Linked DNA regions of Rhinolophus ferrumequinum. The protein of the gene in region 1 purifies or fractionates together with the protein of each later gene. This does not show direct contact. Links are inferred from orthologs where the notes say so. Each region holds a gene or a part of one and is shown in the gene's direction. Other genes may lie near its edges.

Evidence for each region. The genes of interacting proteins can lie anywhere in the genome.
Region 2: the proteins of NELFA (region 1) and NELFE purify together in Homo sapiens (affinity purification with mass spectrometry; 9 studies listed by BioGRID and IntAct, counting the BioPlex papers as one, with this or other methods). This does not show direct contact. The link is inferred for Rhinolophus ferrumequinum from reciprocal best matches to the Homo sapiens genes NELFA and NELFE.

Annotation. Positions count from the first base shown.
Region 1 is NC_046288.1:87,030,640-87,039,160, forward strand, and holds the start of NELFA (negative elongation factor A), read left to right. Parts: upstream 1-5,155; 5' UTR 5,156-5,209; coding exon 5,210-5,419; intron 5,420-8,521. UniProt on the Homo sapiens protein: Essential component of the NELF complex, a complex that negatively regulates the elongation of transcription by RNA polymerase II.
Region 2 is NC_046286.1:2,408,557-2,416,494, reverse strand, and holds the start of NELFE (negative elongation factor E), read left to right. Parts: upstream 1-4,683; 5' UTR 4,684-4,818; intron 4,819-5,250; 5' UTR 5,251-5,258; coding exon 5,259-5,333; intron 5,334-6,696; coding exon 6,697-6,766; intron 6,767-6,865; coding exon 6,866-7,011; intron 7,012-7,506; coding exon 7,507-7,581; intron 7,582-7,689; coding exon 7,690-7,727; intron 7,728-7,918; coding exon 7,919-7,938. UniProt on the Homo sapiens protein: Essential component of the NELF complex, a complex that negatively regulates the elongation of transcription by RNA polymerase II.

The DNA of each region.
Region 1 (8,521 bases):
GAACTAACACTACCTGACTTCAAGACTTATTATAAAGCTACAGTAACCAAGACAGTGTGGTATTAGTGTACAGCTAGATAGTGAAAATAAATCAGGATAGAAAACAGTCCAGAAATAGACCCATACATACATGGACAACAGATTTTTAACAAAGGTTCAAAGGCAGTTCATTTGAGAAAGAACAGTCTTTTCAACAAATAGTGTTGGGACAATTAGATATCCATATCTAAAAACAAAAATTTTGACTTTCTAATTTCGCAATGTAATAAATAGATGTAATGAGGCATCATGTTATTTTAATTTGGATTTTTCAGGTTTTAGTGATAAGTTAAGCATCTCTTTGTTAAGTCTCAGGGATCTGGTTCCCCTCCTATTAACTGCCTTTTCTTATCGTTTGCCCAGTTCTCTATTGGATTGCCTGTCTTTTTCTCACCAATTTACAGGCATTTCTTTTTACATTCTAAATGTTAATCCACTGGTGCTTTTTGATGGTTTTTGATATTGCAAATGCCTCCTTCTAGTGGTCTGTCTTCTCTTTGTTAACCCAGTGGTTAAGCAGAATTCTTCCTGATGACTCACAATTGATTTCAAGGACATGAGACTGAGGACATATACACCAAGCACTGAATATTCCACAGAAAGCCACAAATGGGGTCAACGCAATTTGGATTGTTTCAAATTTTTGGCCATTATGAATATGAATAAAGCTGCTATGAACATTTGCATCCAGTTAACAAAGATTTTCATCTCAGTCAAGCAATGGTTACAGTTCAAGCGTTGTTTGATATACGGGGTTTTATTCCAATCGGCTCTTCCCCGGTAAGTGCATTGTCACTAAATTTGATGTTTAATCACCTGCAAAACTATTTCTCCACCTCAAAAACTTAGTTATTTAACTTAAACTTCTTTTAGCTTTAGCATCACTTACTCCAGAACCTTACCTGTTAGTCAGTGCCATGAGGGACTTCTTTTGCTGAATCAGGTAATAGTGCTTGAATACTGGAAGAAACATTGCTTCAAGTGTGTGTGTGTGTGTGTGAGCTCTTCACAATGTAATGACAACAGACACAACATGCTTTCTTCATTGTTAGCATTTTCTCCATCACTTTCTTAAGCCTGGACAATCAACCAGTCAGTCCTGCCCTGATGTGTAGCTCTTGCCCGTTCCCGGGGTGTAAACACGCCCACCATGGCTGAGTCCGAGCTGCCCGTGCAACCTCAGTGAACATAGAGTTGGGAGGAGTTGGGCAGCACTCCAGCTGGGCTACCGGCAGTCCTCACCTAACATCATCGGTAGGTTCTTGGAAACTGCGACTTGAAGCGAAACGACGTATAAGGAAACCAGTTTTACCCTCGGCTAATTTGTATAAACCAGAGCTAAGTTCCTACGGCATATTTCTAGTCACAAACACATCGCCAAACTTCCAAATAAACACCCAAAACACTTCTAATATTAAACACTGAAGTAAATGTGAGCTCCACATACATTTAAGAACAATTAATAAAAACAAGGAAGGTCGTGATTTTCCAACCCGCTTATTCCAGTTCAGGGTCACAGGTGGCCAGAGTCTGTCCCGGCAGCTCAGGGCACAAGGGGGGTCCCGCCCCGGACAGGAGGCCCTGCCATCACATGGTGCACCCACGCCCACTTGCTCACACTGGGACAATGTAGACACACCATTCACCTCATGAGCACATCTTTGGGACGCGGGAGGAAACGGGAGGACCAGAGAAGATGAGGGGAGAAGGTGCACACTCCACAGAGACCGTGGCCCAGGCTGCGGATGCATTTTTTTCTCATCAGCGTTATAACAAAATGTACAGCATTTCCCCCGTTCAGTTACACTGGACGTAAATAACATCTAGAGTATGGGCAAGAGTGAGATGAAGTAAAATGCCTTGTAAAAGGTAAAGAAATAAAATGAATACAATAAAGTTTAATTTTTGATAATGGCTGTTTTGAATGACAGGCTTAGAAAATTCCTGAAAATTAACAATAGTTCTTGCAAGCCTGTACAAGCTGGCTCTAGCACACAACTGGGAGGGGACGTGCAGCCCCCCTTGGCAGCCCTCTATGACATTACAGGGGTGCCATTTGGCCAATACCCCTCTCTGGGCCTGTACCTCCCAAACCCTTACCCATAGTCCTTGGGGGACTCGTACAAGCGTCCTCATCATAGATTGTCTGTAAGGTGGGCAAGTGGACGCGATGTGAAGGTTTAATCCTAGGGGAATGGAGACGAAAATGTGGTGGACACGAGACTCGGTACAATCCCATCTCTGTCCACTGAAGACACAAACACACATAAGAACTCTTTACGTTTGTCAAAGACATATTCCAAACACACTAGAGTAGGGGTGAGATGTCTGAGGACAGGAGAGCTTTGGGACTGATGGTGGAAGGAAGAAAAATAGACTCCAATGAAATAAAACCAGAGGTGGGCCTCATCCCAACCAATGAGGACCCTGGTCTGAGGGGTCTAACTGCTGATCTCTCCACGGCCCAGGTACAGAAAGAAGGGCAAGGCAGTAGGTGCCCCCAACCCCGTTCCCCAAATGTTCTCGATGAAGTAGAAGGCTAGAGCCTATGGGCAAGAAGGGCAGGGGGAGGTCAGACGGAAAATGTGGGCACAAGCATTGTTTCGGGAGGTGAGGTCCAGGTTGTGATAGGGGAGGGGCGCAGGGAAGGGATGTGGTGGGGAGACCTCCTGAGCCCGAGGTGCTCCGTGTGCAGGCCACTCACTGCCTGCAGCCTCTCTCACCCTGAGCTGCAGTGTCACCTCCTCAGAGATGTGGCCCTGGCTGTGCCACGGTAAACAAGTCCCCACTCATCTCAGTTTGTGACCGCACTAGGGAGTCCCTCCAGTTTGTTGTCCTGGCCCACTAGAGGCCCACCGGCGCCTGTGAGCCCTGTGACAGAGACCACTGGAGGCAGGTGAAGAAGCTGGCCTGGTGGGAAGGGGCTGGCCAGGGCAGGACAGGGCCCCCCTCCAGACGGAGGGGCACTCAGCTTTTGGTTAAAGCCCTGATTTTGTGCCTTCACTGATTATGCACAAGACTAACTCAGGGCTGCGGGTGGTAAGCACCCCATTGCCCCCAAGGCAGGGCTGATTCCCTTTCAAAAGGTACCTGACCACTGATCCCCCTTTGGGCATCTGGAAAACGCAGGCCCAAACCTGGCAGGTGCAGATGTCAGACCTGGAAGGCCACCTGCAGCTGACCCTGAGGACGTGGAGCAGCTGCAGGCATAGCCACTTGCCCTTTCTTGGGACAGCTGCCTGGCAAATGGCAATCACAGGGGTACTAGGGACCAGAGAGACTGGCCAGGCTTGAGAAAGCTTGCCCCAGTCCTTTTAGACATAATTTGCATAAAACTGCACTCCCATCACTCCCTGTACACCTGCCCAGCTCTTCTGTCCACACCACCTTCACCTCTGTAGACTGCCCACTCCCCTGGGTCACGGGACCCACGAAGGCAAAGGTCTGGGTCTCACTATTGTACCCCCAGCACCCAGATGTGAACGTACAACAGGCTACGTGGCAGGCCTGACAAGCTCAGTGACCAACAGTAACCATACACGGTCAGATCATAAATCCCTAACTGGGCAGGTCATAGTGGGTAGTCACGTGCCAGGACTACAGCTTCCTTAGCAAAGGTTGGTCTTTACCTTGGGCTCATCAAGGATAACGTACCTTTGAAATGTCAGAGTAATTCTCTTTTACAGACACCTCAGAGGCACAACTGCTGGCACCAGAGCAAGAGCACGGCAGTCCTGTTACCTTGCCCCCCGCATACCATCTGTCTGTGCTGTAAATGTGTCGTGAGTGGGACGTGGCTGTGACGGTAGCCGTTTCACACACGTTGGTGTCTTTCCACAACGTCAGACTTTATTAGAATAAAGCGTGGATCTAGCCCTGCTGACTTGGTTTCCCACGGGCGTTAACCGAGGCTCTGGTCGGGGACAGCCTCCAATAGCGAGGGAGGGCGGTTTCACACAGGAGGGTCACACGGGTTTGCAAGTAACAGGGTGAGGCGAGGCGAACAGAGTCTAGGAAAGAAGGATGAGAGAGTCCGGTGTCCAGCGAGAGTCCTCCGGTGCTGGGCTGCGGAGTGTCGGGCGGCAGGTGGGCTGGTGACACGGTCAGGAGGCGAGGCTTCAAGCGCCGCCTCTGGGACGAGTGCAGGTGCTGCTGTCAGCTGGTCGGCTGAGGCCTGAGCGAGGAGCCGTCAGTGAGCTCTGATCTTTTATGCTCGAGACGGGGGGCGGTGCCCCCTCCTGCAGTCCCAGGAAGCATCGTCCAGGTGGTCACACTCCACGTTTTCACGTGACGCCCTGGCATGACGGTCACTCTGTGACTGACATAGCTATCAGAATGACTAGATTCCGTTTTGTGTCCCTAAGTCATGCTCTGTACAAAATGTTTAGTGTTAATTGCCCTGCACCCACCCGTGTAAAGCGGTGTCTCTCCGTCTTACTTTTTATCCAGTCCCAGAAACTGCCCGCCTGGCTTTCTCCGCCTCCTAACCTGCCACCTGTGGATTCCACGTGCCTACCTTCTCTCCTTCCATTCTAAATGCATACAAAGAACTGCAAAATTGCTCTTCCGTGAGCATTTTCTCAGTCCTTTGAGATTTTGCTTCTAGCCGGCCCTCAGATTTGGCTCAAATAAACTCCCAGGGAAATTCTCCGTCCCTTTCATGAGCGCAGCATAGTGCCAGGCACACAGTAGGTGCTCAGCCCGTCTGGACTGCTGAAGGAATGAATGAAAGCTGGACCTGGCTCTCTTTGACAAAGGCGCTCCTAAATGTCTGTCTGACCTGGACCCCTCCCTCGGGAGGCGTGGGGAGGCCTGAGCCGGATGCCCGCGCTGCTCAAGCCCTGGGATCCATGGCGGGAACAGTCGAGAGCCTCGGCCCAGAGCCGCCGCGCCCACACGCCACACCGGCGCGACATCTCCGTCTCTCTTGACGTCACCCTCCGCGGCTGTTTCAGAGAGCCGGTCGTGGGCGCCGCCATGTTACTCAAGGGCGGCCGGCAGGCCTTCGCGGGCGTCACCACGAAGCGTCTCGCCGAGGCCCCGCCCCGCCTGTGACGTCACCGCAGCCTGCTCGGGCGGGCGCCGCCATGTTGGGGGTCCTCGCCATGGGCGCGTAGGTGTCTTCATAAGATGCCGGCACGGCGGCGGCGCCCGGCTTTCCCCCCCCAAGATGGCGTCCATGCGGGAGAGCGACACGGGCCTGTGGCTGCACAACAAGCTGGGGGCCACAGACGAGCTGTGGGCGCCGCCCAGCATCGCGTCCCTGCTCACGGCCGCGGTCATCGACAACATCCGCCTCTGCTTCCACAGCCTCTCGTCGGCCGTAAAGCTCAAGCTGTTGCTTGGGACGCTGCACCTCCCGCGCCGCACGGTGGACGAGGTGAGGCGGGCGGCGTTGGGGGCGCAGGGCCTGCCTTCCACCTCGCGGCCGTGCTCCTTAGACCCGAGACCCCGGCCCTTACTGTCCCCCCAGCCCCCCTGTCACAGCACCCCCTCCCCCGACCCTCACAGTCCCCCTCAGCCCCCCCACTCTCACAGCCCCCCATTTTCACGCCCCCCACCTTTAGCCCCCCCACTTTCACACACCCCACCCTTAGCCTCCCACTTTCACGCCCCCCACCCTCAGCCCCCCCACCCTCACAGCCCCCCACTTTCACGCCCCCCACCCTCACAGCCCCCCTTCTCAGGCCGCACTGGGTTTTCCGCGCTCCCGGTAGAACTTTCCAGCGGCTCCCCTCACGGCACACCCCTTCCCCCACCCTCATTGCCCCTCCCCCGACCGTCACCCTCACAGGCCCCCTTATTCTGGGTGAGGAAAAGCGGAGCCCTTCGGCCTGCAGGGGAGTTTGGGGAGCAGGGCAGCGGGGATGGATGCGAACCCCGAGCCGCCATCGGGCACCTGTTAGGGCACCACCTGTTAGCGCCGGTGGCGGTGCGTGCCTGTGCGTGTTTGCGGGAGGGCGCGGAGGTTAGTGCCCTGATGTGGGGGTGCGAGTCTGTCCGGGTTTCCCTGGGTCCCTGAAAGCCGCGCAGAGGGCAGAGCTGGCCGCGATGGCCTGCGGAGAACTTTCCAGTGACTGTGGACCGCGTGTTGTTATTTTTAGCCCACAGAGTGGCCACACACTTAGGTCCCTCGGTACTCCCGGGCTTCGCCGCACGCCCGTTTCTGCAGCATCCTGATGCGGGTGACACTGCCTGTCCGGGAACGGCGTGTTGCGGGTTCTTCGTGCAGTGAACCCCGTAGTTGTTGGACGTTTCCCCCACTCCTGTTCGGTCCCTTACGATTGCATGTTAGGTTTGTGCCTGTTTTATTGTGAGCGCGAACGCACGCACAAGTGCCAGTTTGTTCAGTTCAGGCGGGGGTCCCGCAAAGCCACCCAAAGCGCACGCAGGCGCCTCGGAAGCCTTGCCCACCTGGCCCCAGGGGCAGCCTGCTGATCTGCGCTGTCACTTAGGCTGTGGGTTTGTTTCTGGGCTCTCCTCTGTTCCTGTAGGCTACGTATTAATGACACTAAGCCTCTTTGTGCCACTTTCTAGCTCAGTAAGTCTTGATAGCTAACGGCGCAGACCCGCCCACTTTATTCTTCAGGGTCTGTGGCTCTTCTTGGCCCTTTGCACTTCCGTGTGTGTTACCTTCACTTCTCAGGTTACACGTACGCCCACGTACAACTTGGGGTTTGATTAAGACTGAGTTGCATTTATAGTTCATTCTGGGGTTAAATCGTCTTAATAATATTGACTCTCATGAATTATTAATATAGGCATATCTCAACTTACATCTTTAATATTTGGGTTTGCGTTTCGTTTGTTTTAGCGTGGAGACAACCTGGTCACTGCTGCTCCGGATTGAGTCCTCTCTTGGACACCTCCGTGAGCATCCAGAAACAGTTGGGTTCTTGTTATTTCAAAAATACGTGAACAGTCTTGACCTTGGCAGGGGTGTGCTCCTGAGAGAGGAGGGACCAGGCCCAGCAGGCTCCTCGTGCTCCGAGCAGCCCCAGGCCCTGCTTTGGCTTTGCCCCTGCCGGACTTGGCTGCCAGAGAACACCGCTCCCGCATTACAAGCTCCTAGATCGTCTTTAATGTTAATATTTGTTGTAAAGCTGCATGATTTTCTCAGCAGACGCCTTCCAGTTTCTGTTAGATATTTCATGTTTTCTCGTGCTGATATAAATATCCGTTAAAATTTTATTTTTAGATGAGTTTGTGAATAGCATCTGTGCTAGTCTTACTAATTGCAATAATGTTCCTGTAGAATCTTCATTTTTCTGTGCACTTAACTCTTATTTTATTTCTCTTTCCAATTGCTATTCATTCATTCATTCATTCATTCATTCATTCATTCATTTGCCTTATTGCATTCACCAGGACACTCCAGTACATTGTTTCTGGCCACACTGTCGCGTCCAGCGCAACACAGGCTGTAAGGGGACGAGAAGGGGTGGCGTTGGGTTAAGTTTTAAGGAAGAAAGAAACAGAGACTTAATGCAGTTAAATCTCAGAAGGCCAGGGGTCTCACAGTTCTGAAAGACTGGAGCCCAGAATCGAGCTGACTGGTGGCTTTTATTGATTATCATACAAGGAAGTAGCATTGTCTTTTCCACAGTCTGTGAATCTCATACATCATACCAGAAAAATGATTCAAACCAATCACGCTTGCCTGTAAACAGCCGAAACAGAAAGTCCCATGGTGTCTTAACAATGGTGGTATGTCCTCCTTAGGGACAGGTCTCTCATGCTGACACTTAATTGTAGGGTTAGAGGGGAGAGCTGATTGTATCGCTCTCACAATCAGGTGAGAGGGGAAAGCCGGAGTCAGCAGTGGCTTTTTCTAGGCAGCGGGAAGGGGAGGCAAGCAAGGCCCCTTCCCAGATCTTCCAAGGCAGCTAGCTCATTGGGGGTCCCCACATGGTTCTGCTTGGCTTAAGTTGCCCCCCCATGGGGAATCTTACTCATCATTGGCTGCAAACCATCTTTTGGGGACCAGACAGAGAGACATGAGGTGTAAAACATCAAGATAAAACAAAGTCCCAGAAAGGCACAGTCTCACAGACCCGTCTTTCCTCAAGGAAAGACATGGGGCGACAGTCGGCTAGGTTGCTGTGTGACAGCAACACTGGAAGAACTTTGAATATTTGCCAATAAGTATGTTTCCTATTATTTTTGGCAGATATTTTTTACTGGTTAAGGAAATTCCCTTCTGTTCCTAGATTAAAAAAAAAAACTATTTTAATCATGAATGAGTTTTTTGTAACAGTTCTATTGAGACAACTCACACATCACAGAATTCACCCATTCAGTATGTACAGTTGAATTGGTTTTTAATATATTCAGAGTTGTGCAGCTGTCATCTTAGTCAATTTTAGAACATTTTTCACCAACCCCAAAATAAACTCTGTTACCTGTTAGCAGGCTTCTCCCCCACACACACCTTCCAGCCTAGGCAACCACTAATCTACTTTCGGTGTCTGTGGGTTTGCCT
Region 2 (7,938 bases), on another chromosome or scaffold:
CCGCGGTCCTGGGGAGGGGTCGCAAAGGGGCAGAGGCTGAGTCGGAGACTGTGGGGCCCAAAGTGGGGCCAGGTAAAGAACTCCCAAGCTCAAAGCTCAAGTCCAAACCCCCGGAGGACCAGGGAAGAAAGAACAGGAAGGAACAGGTGGTGACAGGTACAAAGCCTACTGGTTCGCACCTGTGCAGGCCCCCCCTGATGCCGTGGGCTGCTTGGCCCCAAAGGTCTGTGCATGCTTGCTCATCCTCTCCTTCTTGGCCTCCACAGCTGCATAGTACTGGGGATGCAGAGGGCGGCGTCACAGTCACACCCAGCCAGGCCAGCCCTGACTCCCCATCTCCGGCTTACCCCTTTGTGTAGAAGGTGCCTCGGGAGTCCAGCAGCAGGAAGAGCTCACCCTGCGTCTTGGGGCTGTTCCCCGTGAAGAGATAATGCTCTAGGGGGACGGGGCGAGTGACAGTGCTGATCACATAGATCTGACGGCGCTTCAGTCGTCTGATGGGCGGGAGACAGCGGGGGCGGGGGATGTGGGAGGAGCAGCGCACACGCCACCACCTTCCCCCTCGGGCCTCACCCAGCCTTTTCTGGAAGCCGGATTGGAAGGCTGTCCCCGTCATCGTATCTCTAAACATGCAAAGTAGTCTGGGCCCAAGTGGGCCGTGTTCCCCAGCCCCACCCTCTTCTCCCACCCCCAAGGCTGTGGCAGTCTTGGCCCCCTACCCCAACCAAGCACTACTACAGCGGCCTTCACCCAAGCACCCCAGGACACACGCCTCACCCAATCCAGTCAGCAAATTCAAGGGCGTTGGGGACAGTGGCACTCAGAAGGATGATGGAGACGTGGTCAGGGAGCATGATGAGCACCTCCTCCCACACGACCCCGCGCTGGGCACAGGGAGGGAAAACGAGTCACGGGCAGCTCAGGGGGGAATAGGGAGCTGCTGAACCAGTCCCACAGGAAAGGACCAGGCCCACATGAGCCCCGCGGCGCTTACCTCAGCGTCGTTGATGTAGTGAACCTCATCAAAGATGACCCACTCCAGGTCCCGGATGACATCCGAGCCGCTGTACAGCATGGAGCTGGGGAGAAGAGACCGAAGGCTGACTCCCCAGTAGCTCCCGTCTCCACTCTTAACTCAGCCACTCTCTCCAGAGCAGCCTCAGCTTCCTGGCCCCACATCCACCTGTGCTGAATGCCCATCTCTCACCGAAGGATCTCTGTCGTCATGATGAGGCAGGAGGCCTCCGGGTGCAGCTGTATGTCCCCGGTGAGCAGCCCCACATCCCCAAATGTGTTTCGGAAGTCTCGGAACTTCTGGTTACTCAGAGCCTTGATGGGCGAAGTGTAGATGGTGCTGGGAAGAGGGCGTGAGGTTAGCGCGTCTCTCCACACGACATGTGCTCAGCAGCGCCTGTCCACCCTGAGCCCTCCCAGCAGCATACTGCAGGCTCAGCGGCCCCCTTTCTTCACCCAATCTGCCCTTACTCTCCTGCATGACGTGATCCCAGAAAACTTTTGACTCTCAACCTCTTCCTAAACTAAACGCACGTAGATCAGCCTTCTAACCTCTCTCCCGGCACCTTCTCATTTCTCTCTGGGCCCCCGTCTTAGTTTCTCCCCAAAACCTCCCATCTAAAAGATGAAGAAAAGATATGGGGAAGAGATGAGATTTAGAAAAGAGGCAGGGGAAACAGGAATGGCTGGTGAAGGGGGAAGGTAGGGGAGGGGACCCGTACCGTGTCATGTGTTTCTGGGCGAGGGCAATGGCATATTCAGCCACAACTGTCTTCCCCGCAGACGTGTGAGCTGCCACAAAGACTGAGTCGTGCCGTTCCAAGTGCAGGATGGCCTGTTTCTGGAACACATCGGGCTCAAATGCCCACTGTGGGACAAAGAAATACATGGAGAATGAAGAGCGGAGAGGGGCCTTCCTGCCTCTGGCTCATGGGGCACGCAGGGCAGTAGGGAGAAGGCCAGAGTGAGGCAAGGCTGGGCCTGAGGTCCAAGACTGGGCGGGAAGGCTTCTGGCCTGTGGTGGGAGAGGCTGGGAGGAGGTGGAGGAGCATGTGAGGACGGGGCCACACTACCTGGAAGGCTGGCTGGGGGATGAGGCGATAGAAATCACCAACAGGGGAGGTGACATCCACAGGAATAGCCCACTGCTCCTGAGGTAGGGCTTTGGGGAGCTCGGTGGGCAATATAGCTGTGGTCGCTTCCTGAAAAAGTCGGGGGTAGGAATGATGAAGTTATAGCCAGAAAACTTTCCATTACTACTCCTCCCAAAAGACGCTCCAATCTTCCCCTTAGACCCAACCAAGCCAGTCCACCCTCCCAGCGGCAAGGCTGCTTCTTTCCTGCCTCGACCACCCAGAAGCACCAACCTTCAACACTAGGTCCTCCAAGCTGCTTGTTCGGGCCAAGGGAGCACTGCAGGGAGAGGCTGGAGCAGTGTCCCCTCTGGTACCTCCCGGCTGTCCCACTGCCTCCCTCCCATCCTCATTTCCCCCACCCAAATCCAGGGGTTCCAGCAGACGGCTGAGGCTGAGCAAACCACGAGCTGGAGCTGAGTGATCTGAGGAGAAAGGCAAAAAAAGGGGACCTGGTCAGGTCCATCTCTGTCCTGTAAGATAAGGGCACCACTTCTCCATGCCCCCACCTCAAAACTCACCTTTGGTGCAAAGTCCACGCCTTTCTTGAAGCCAGGTGGAACGGTAAGAAGCTCTGGAGGACCGGGACAGAGAGAGAATGGGGCCACTGCACACCGTTATACAAATTGTACATTGCATAAACCTAAAGGATGTCATTCACAGCACAAACGTTGTAACTGGGAACATTTGTTGTAACCACTTTCCAATAAATGACAAAGAAGGTTGTTATGGAAAGGGTGCCTTTTCCTAATTTGCTCAAAGGCATGAAGCAGCCCAGTGATAGGCCTGGTCCCCTCATCTGCAAGGTCCAGACTTGAAGCCCTGCCGCCCAAGGGTCCATCCTGGCACCACCTCACCTTTCTCAAAGTCTATCTCCTCCTCAGCTTCTTCCCGAGTGCTCAGATCTGTTATGGTGGGCTCGTCCATTCCACCTGGGGAGAGGTTGGACAAATAAAGATTCATGAGGGGTGATACGGGAACCCTTCCTTGGAGACTGAGGGCTCCCTCCCCAACCATCTCATTTCCACAAGAGTCACCTGGCCAGAAAGGGTACTGTGTTGGATTCCCCCATAGGGACTGGGAAACGGGCCCTGGTGGCCGGCGAAGAGACAAGGAGGTCGTGGCCGTCAGGTCTGTATTCTCCAGCAGGACCTGAGGCAAGAGATCAGAGCCTCAGTGAGGTTGAGCCTGCCTCTGACCCGCCTTTTCCCAACTCTGCTTCTCATGGCCCCTGATCACTTACCTCCTTGTAGCCCAGTATCTGGCCTGTGGTTGGGTGTCTCTGGGCTTGTAGATCGGAGGGAACTGGGGCCCCCAGTACAGCCAGGAGAGACCAAGGATCCATCTTCCTCTGCCATTTTCTGATGAGAAGGAAGTAATTTTCAGGTCTTCTTTCTCCTCTGTCTCAGCTTCTTTTAGAGACCCATCTCACTAGTCCAGTCCCCTCCAGACCCCTCACCGGGCTGGGTGATCCACACCATGCAGAGGCAGCCAGGCTGGAGATGACAGAAACAACTGCTCTGCTTCTTGCTGCAGATCCGGGGCACAGGGGGGGAGGCCGTGGGGAAGCTGGAACAAGGACAAGATGAGAGAAAGTGATGGGACTTGTGTTGAGATCAGAAATGGTAGATGTCTCAGACAGACTAGGACAATTAAGGTGAAGGAAGATTTTCCAAAGGTTGTCATTTTTTACAGGACAAACGGCCTGCTGCTGAATTACCTGAGGCGCTGGTTAATAATACAGATTTTGTACTTCAGAATCTGGGGCTGGACCTAGGAATATGTATTTTTAAAAAGCTCCCCCACTAATCATGAGGCATACTGAAATTCGAGAATCACTAGCTTTAGGAAAAGAGATCCCAGACCTAAAGATGAAGAGCCTTTATCTCCAAAGGCTAGCATCTCAGCCACCGACAAGTGCTTGGAGACAGAAAGGGACTGCAACCTTTGAAAGAGCAGTTCTCAGAGCTAAGGTACCCCAGCGCTGCAGGCTGATCCTCACATGGGCTCTGACCCACAGCAGGCCCACTAGGCTGGAGTCTGTCCGGCACCAGTCCAGGCCCCGAGGACAGGTATCCAGGGAGAGAAGAGCTGGTCATACTAGACCCTACTGTAAGGAAGAGGTTTTAAGCTCAATGCGGGTCAAAGGTTAGGGTCAAAAGTCACTCACGGTGCTCTCTGGAGCCCCAGGCACATTCAGCAGCTCCCAGCGCCCAGTGCATCCCAGCTCCACAGCCCGAAGGGGCAGGTCCAGGGGCTCTAGGGGAGGTAGTACTACAGGAGAAAGGTCAGAGGTCAGAGGTCAAGGCCAATCTCTGTCTATTTCTTCGTTCCACCCCCTCCCCCTCACCGAGTCGCTCTGTCTCCAGCATCTAGGAGCCACGGTAGGGGCCAGGCAGCCCAAAAGCGCAGCGGGGAGCTGTGTGATAAGCTCCGCCCCGAAACGGGCGGAAGTGGAGGCGACTTCCGGTACACACCCCGCTGGGGGTGTGCACGAGTGCTACGGAGGGGCTGCCCTGAATTGGTGGAAGGTCGGGCGGAAGTGACTGCGCCTCGGGCCGCCTTGGTTACCGCGTTCTCCGCCCCTCGATACGTCATCGCTCTGAGCCGGCGATCCGCTGCCCGCGCGGGCGCTGCCCGAGAGCGCGGGTCCCGGTTGCCGCCCCCTCAGGTAAGGCTTTCTCCTTCTCACCCTTCGCCCCTTTCTTCCGAGCTCTTTCTCTCTTTTTCCCCTTTTCGTTGCTCTGAGAGCGCTGCGCGGGTTCCAGTGCCTCCTCTGCGGTTCTGAACCCCCGGTTGCCATACGAACAACTCCAGTGGGGAGAGGGGGGGTCTTGTGCCATCGTCTTGGCGACAGAGGGGGTATTTCTCCTCGGGCCACGGGGGGCCCCAAGGCGCTGGTGTCTGTGATTCCTAGCGAGGACGGAATGCTGGTTGACCCCGACGAGGGGGCTCGGACGGCATCCTGGCTTAAGCAGGGGGTAGGGAGAGCCAACACACAGGAGTAGGCAGGCCTGAAGGGGGGGGTCGGGGGAGTGGACGGCGTGTGAACCCCGGGCGGTGACAGTGGAGAAAGATGCCTTGGGCCCTGCCCCTGAACCAGGAGCCACCATGTTGGTGATACCCCCCGGACTGAGCGAGGAGGAGGAGGCTCTGCAGAAGAAATTCAACAAACTGAAGAAAAAGGTGAGGGAGTGTGTGTGGGCATCGCCCAACCTTTCACAGACTCTACCCTCTGAGACCACCTGGGGTGAGTGTGAGGGATGGAGGGTTCTTCTGGCTCACACCGGCACACTGGCACCTCTCAGTGTAGCCTCAGAGGTGGGCTTTTCCCAAGTCTGTGTACCTTCTCTCTTTTCTATTCACTCTGCCATGGAGTTGTCTTCCTTTCCTGTGGCTTTTAGTACCACCTAAAAGCTGGTGATTCCACGTTTGGTGTTTTTCCAGTTCCATCTGATGTCTTACTGATAACCTTCAGATATCCAAAATTAAAGCTATTATCTTCCTGTTTATACTAATCTAGTTCCTTTTCTTGCTCTTCCAAATAAGGCGTGATCACATTCAGTTCTCCCATGTGTTTAGAATCAAAATCTCATCTCTGATTCGCTGTTTGCTTCGCCAAACGTTTGCCAAGTCTTCTGAATTCTTCCTTGGAAGTAACTTCTATTTATTTTTTCCTGTATTATGTATTCCATAGATCTAGGTCTTTGCTGACACTCATCTAGACCGTTGTAATGGTCTCTCGACAAGTTTTTAGTGTTTGTTTATTTTTAACAGACTTCTTCACTCCTATTAAAACAATCCATTGAAAACATAAGACTTTGTCCCTCTTTTTCTCAAAACCCTTAAGTGGTTTCACATTGTCTGTAGAACAAAACCTTAACTTGTGGCATCCCTTTTTAGTAAACTAGAACTATTCACTAGTCCCAAGACATGCATCCCCAAAGCTTCTTATCTCTGTATTTTTGCCACAGTTTTCTTTGTCTAAAATGCCTTTTTTCTTCAGTTTCTATTATGCAGATGCTACCTAGGGTCCAGTTTAATAACCATTTGGCTTCAGAAAATCTTACTCTCAGCTGCAAGCAGTCTGCACGTCTTATAATCATTCTTGATAATTCAGTCTAGCCACTTTGTTTCTCAGATTGTAAACTTGGGGAGGAAGTGCGTCTCCTCCCCATACAAAGTAATGAATGGCAAGTTCTTATTAAACAAACAGGGTATGGATGGATGCACTCCAGAAAGCATGTAGGCGTTTATTTACTTGCAGCTCATAACCTGGGGCTCTCGTCCATCATTGACTTTCTTGTTTTCTACTTCAAAAATGTGATGCTCTGGGATACCATGGTTTGGATACCTTAAGTATCGGTGGCGCTGTGCGTGAACCGGGCCCGTGTGTAAGAGGCAGGGCTGCTTTAGTGAACTACTCCAGGGGCACCATTTGCACTGTTTTCTCTGAGAAAGGTGTCCCCTGGAGTGACGCACCCAGGGGCCTTAGGAGAGGACCTGGTCAGAGACTGGCCCTCACCAACTCCTCTCTTCTCATTCCCAGAAAAAGGCATTGCTGGCTCTGAAGAAGCAAAGCAGCAGCAGCACAGCCAGCCAGGGTGGTGTCAAACGCTGTGAGTGACAGGGAAACGGGGATAGGCTGCGAGTAGGGAGCACGGGGCTGACCTCTCGCAGCCTGGCTGACGTCATGCCTCTTTCCCTCACCACTGCAGCACTGTCAGAGCAGCCTGTGGTGGACACAGCCACGGCAACAGAGCAGGCAAAGCAGCTGGTGAAGTCAGGAGCCATCAGTGCCATCAAGGCCGAGACCAAGAACTCGGGCTTCAAACGCTCTCGAACCCTAGAGGGGAAGTTAAAGGTAAGCACAAGCAGAAAGATAGTTCAGGGGACCCCTGACTTCGGAAGGCATCCCTCCAAGAGCAATGGAGGTGGTTTAGGGAAAAAGTGATACCTGTCAATCACGGGCAAAATGCGCTACCATTCTGAGCTTCAGGTTGCTTATCTGAAAAATGAAGAAAATGGGTGACTCCTAAATTCTCCATTTTACACATTCTGCGGCTCTGTTGTGCGTGTGCGAGCTCTTAGATTGTGCTCTAAGGAGCTGAACAGGCTGAAATGGCGTCAGGTTCAAGAAGTGTTTAGGTAAACTAAATACTTGAAGGGTTTATTAGGGTCACTTATTTAAAAATCCCACACAGTCAGATAAGAGAAGTGCAAAGGAATTAAAAGAAAAAAAGACAAAACGGTAGAACAGAGGAAGCTGAGGAGAGGGTGAGGGAAAAGGAACGCCCTCTGACCCGCGGTCAGGCAGCCTCCTGCCCCACACTGAGGCAGGTCTCTACCACCTTCCCAGGATCCTGCGAAGGGGCCAGTCCCCACTTTCCAGCCGTTCCAGAGAAGCATATCTGCTGACGATGATCTGCAAGAGGTAATGGGCCCCGTTCTTTGTCCCTGAGGGCCTGGGATTGGGGAAGAGGAGCGACCTACATGCCAGCAACCAGGAATCAGCTGAACTGAAACTGGGTCTCTTTTTCAGTCGTCCAGACGTCCTCAAAGGAAATCTCTGTATGAGAGGTTAGCAGGTTGGAGATAGGACTGGGTCCCACTAGGTGGTTGGTGTGGGGGGTGATTGCCTGGATCCTGGGGCGGTCTGGGGCTGGAGTGGCAGGAGCTGGGGCTGCACAGGGAGGCGGGGGTCAGTCTCCTCAGGGTCTGGGAAGACTACCAAAGGCCCCCTTTGATCCGCGCTGCCTGCCTCCCCCTAGCTTTGTGTCTTCCAGTGATC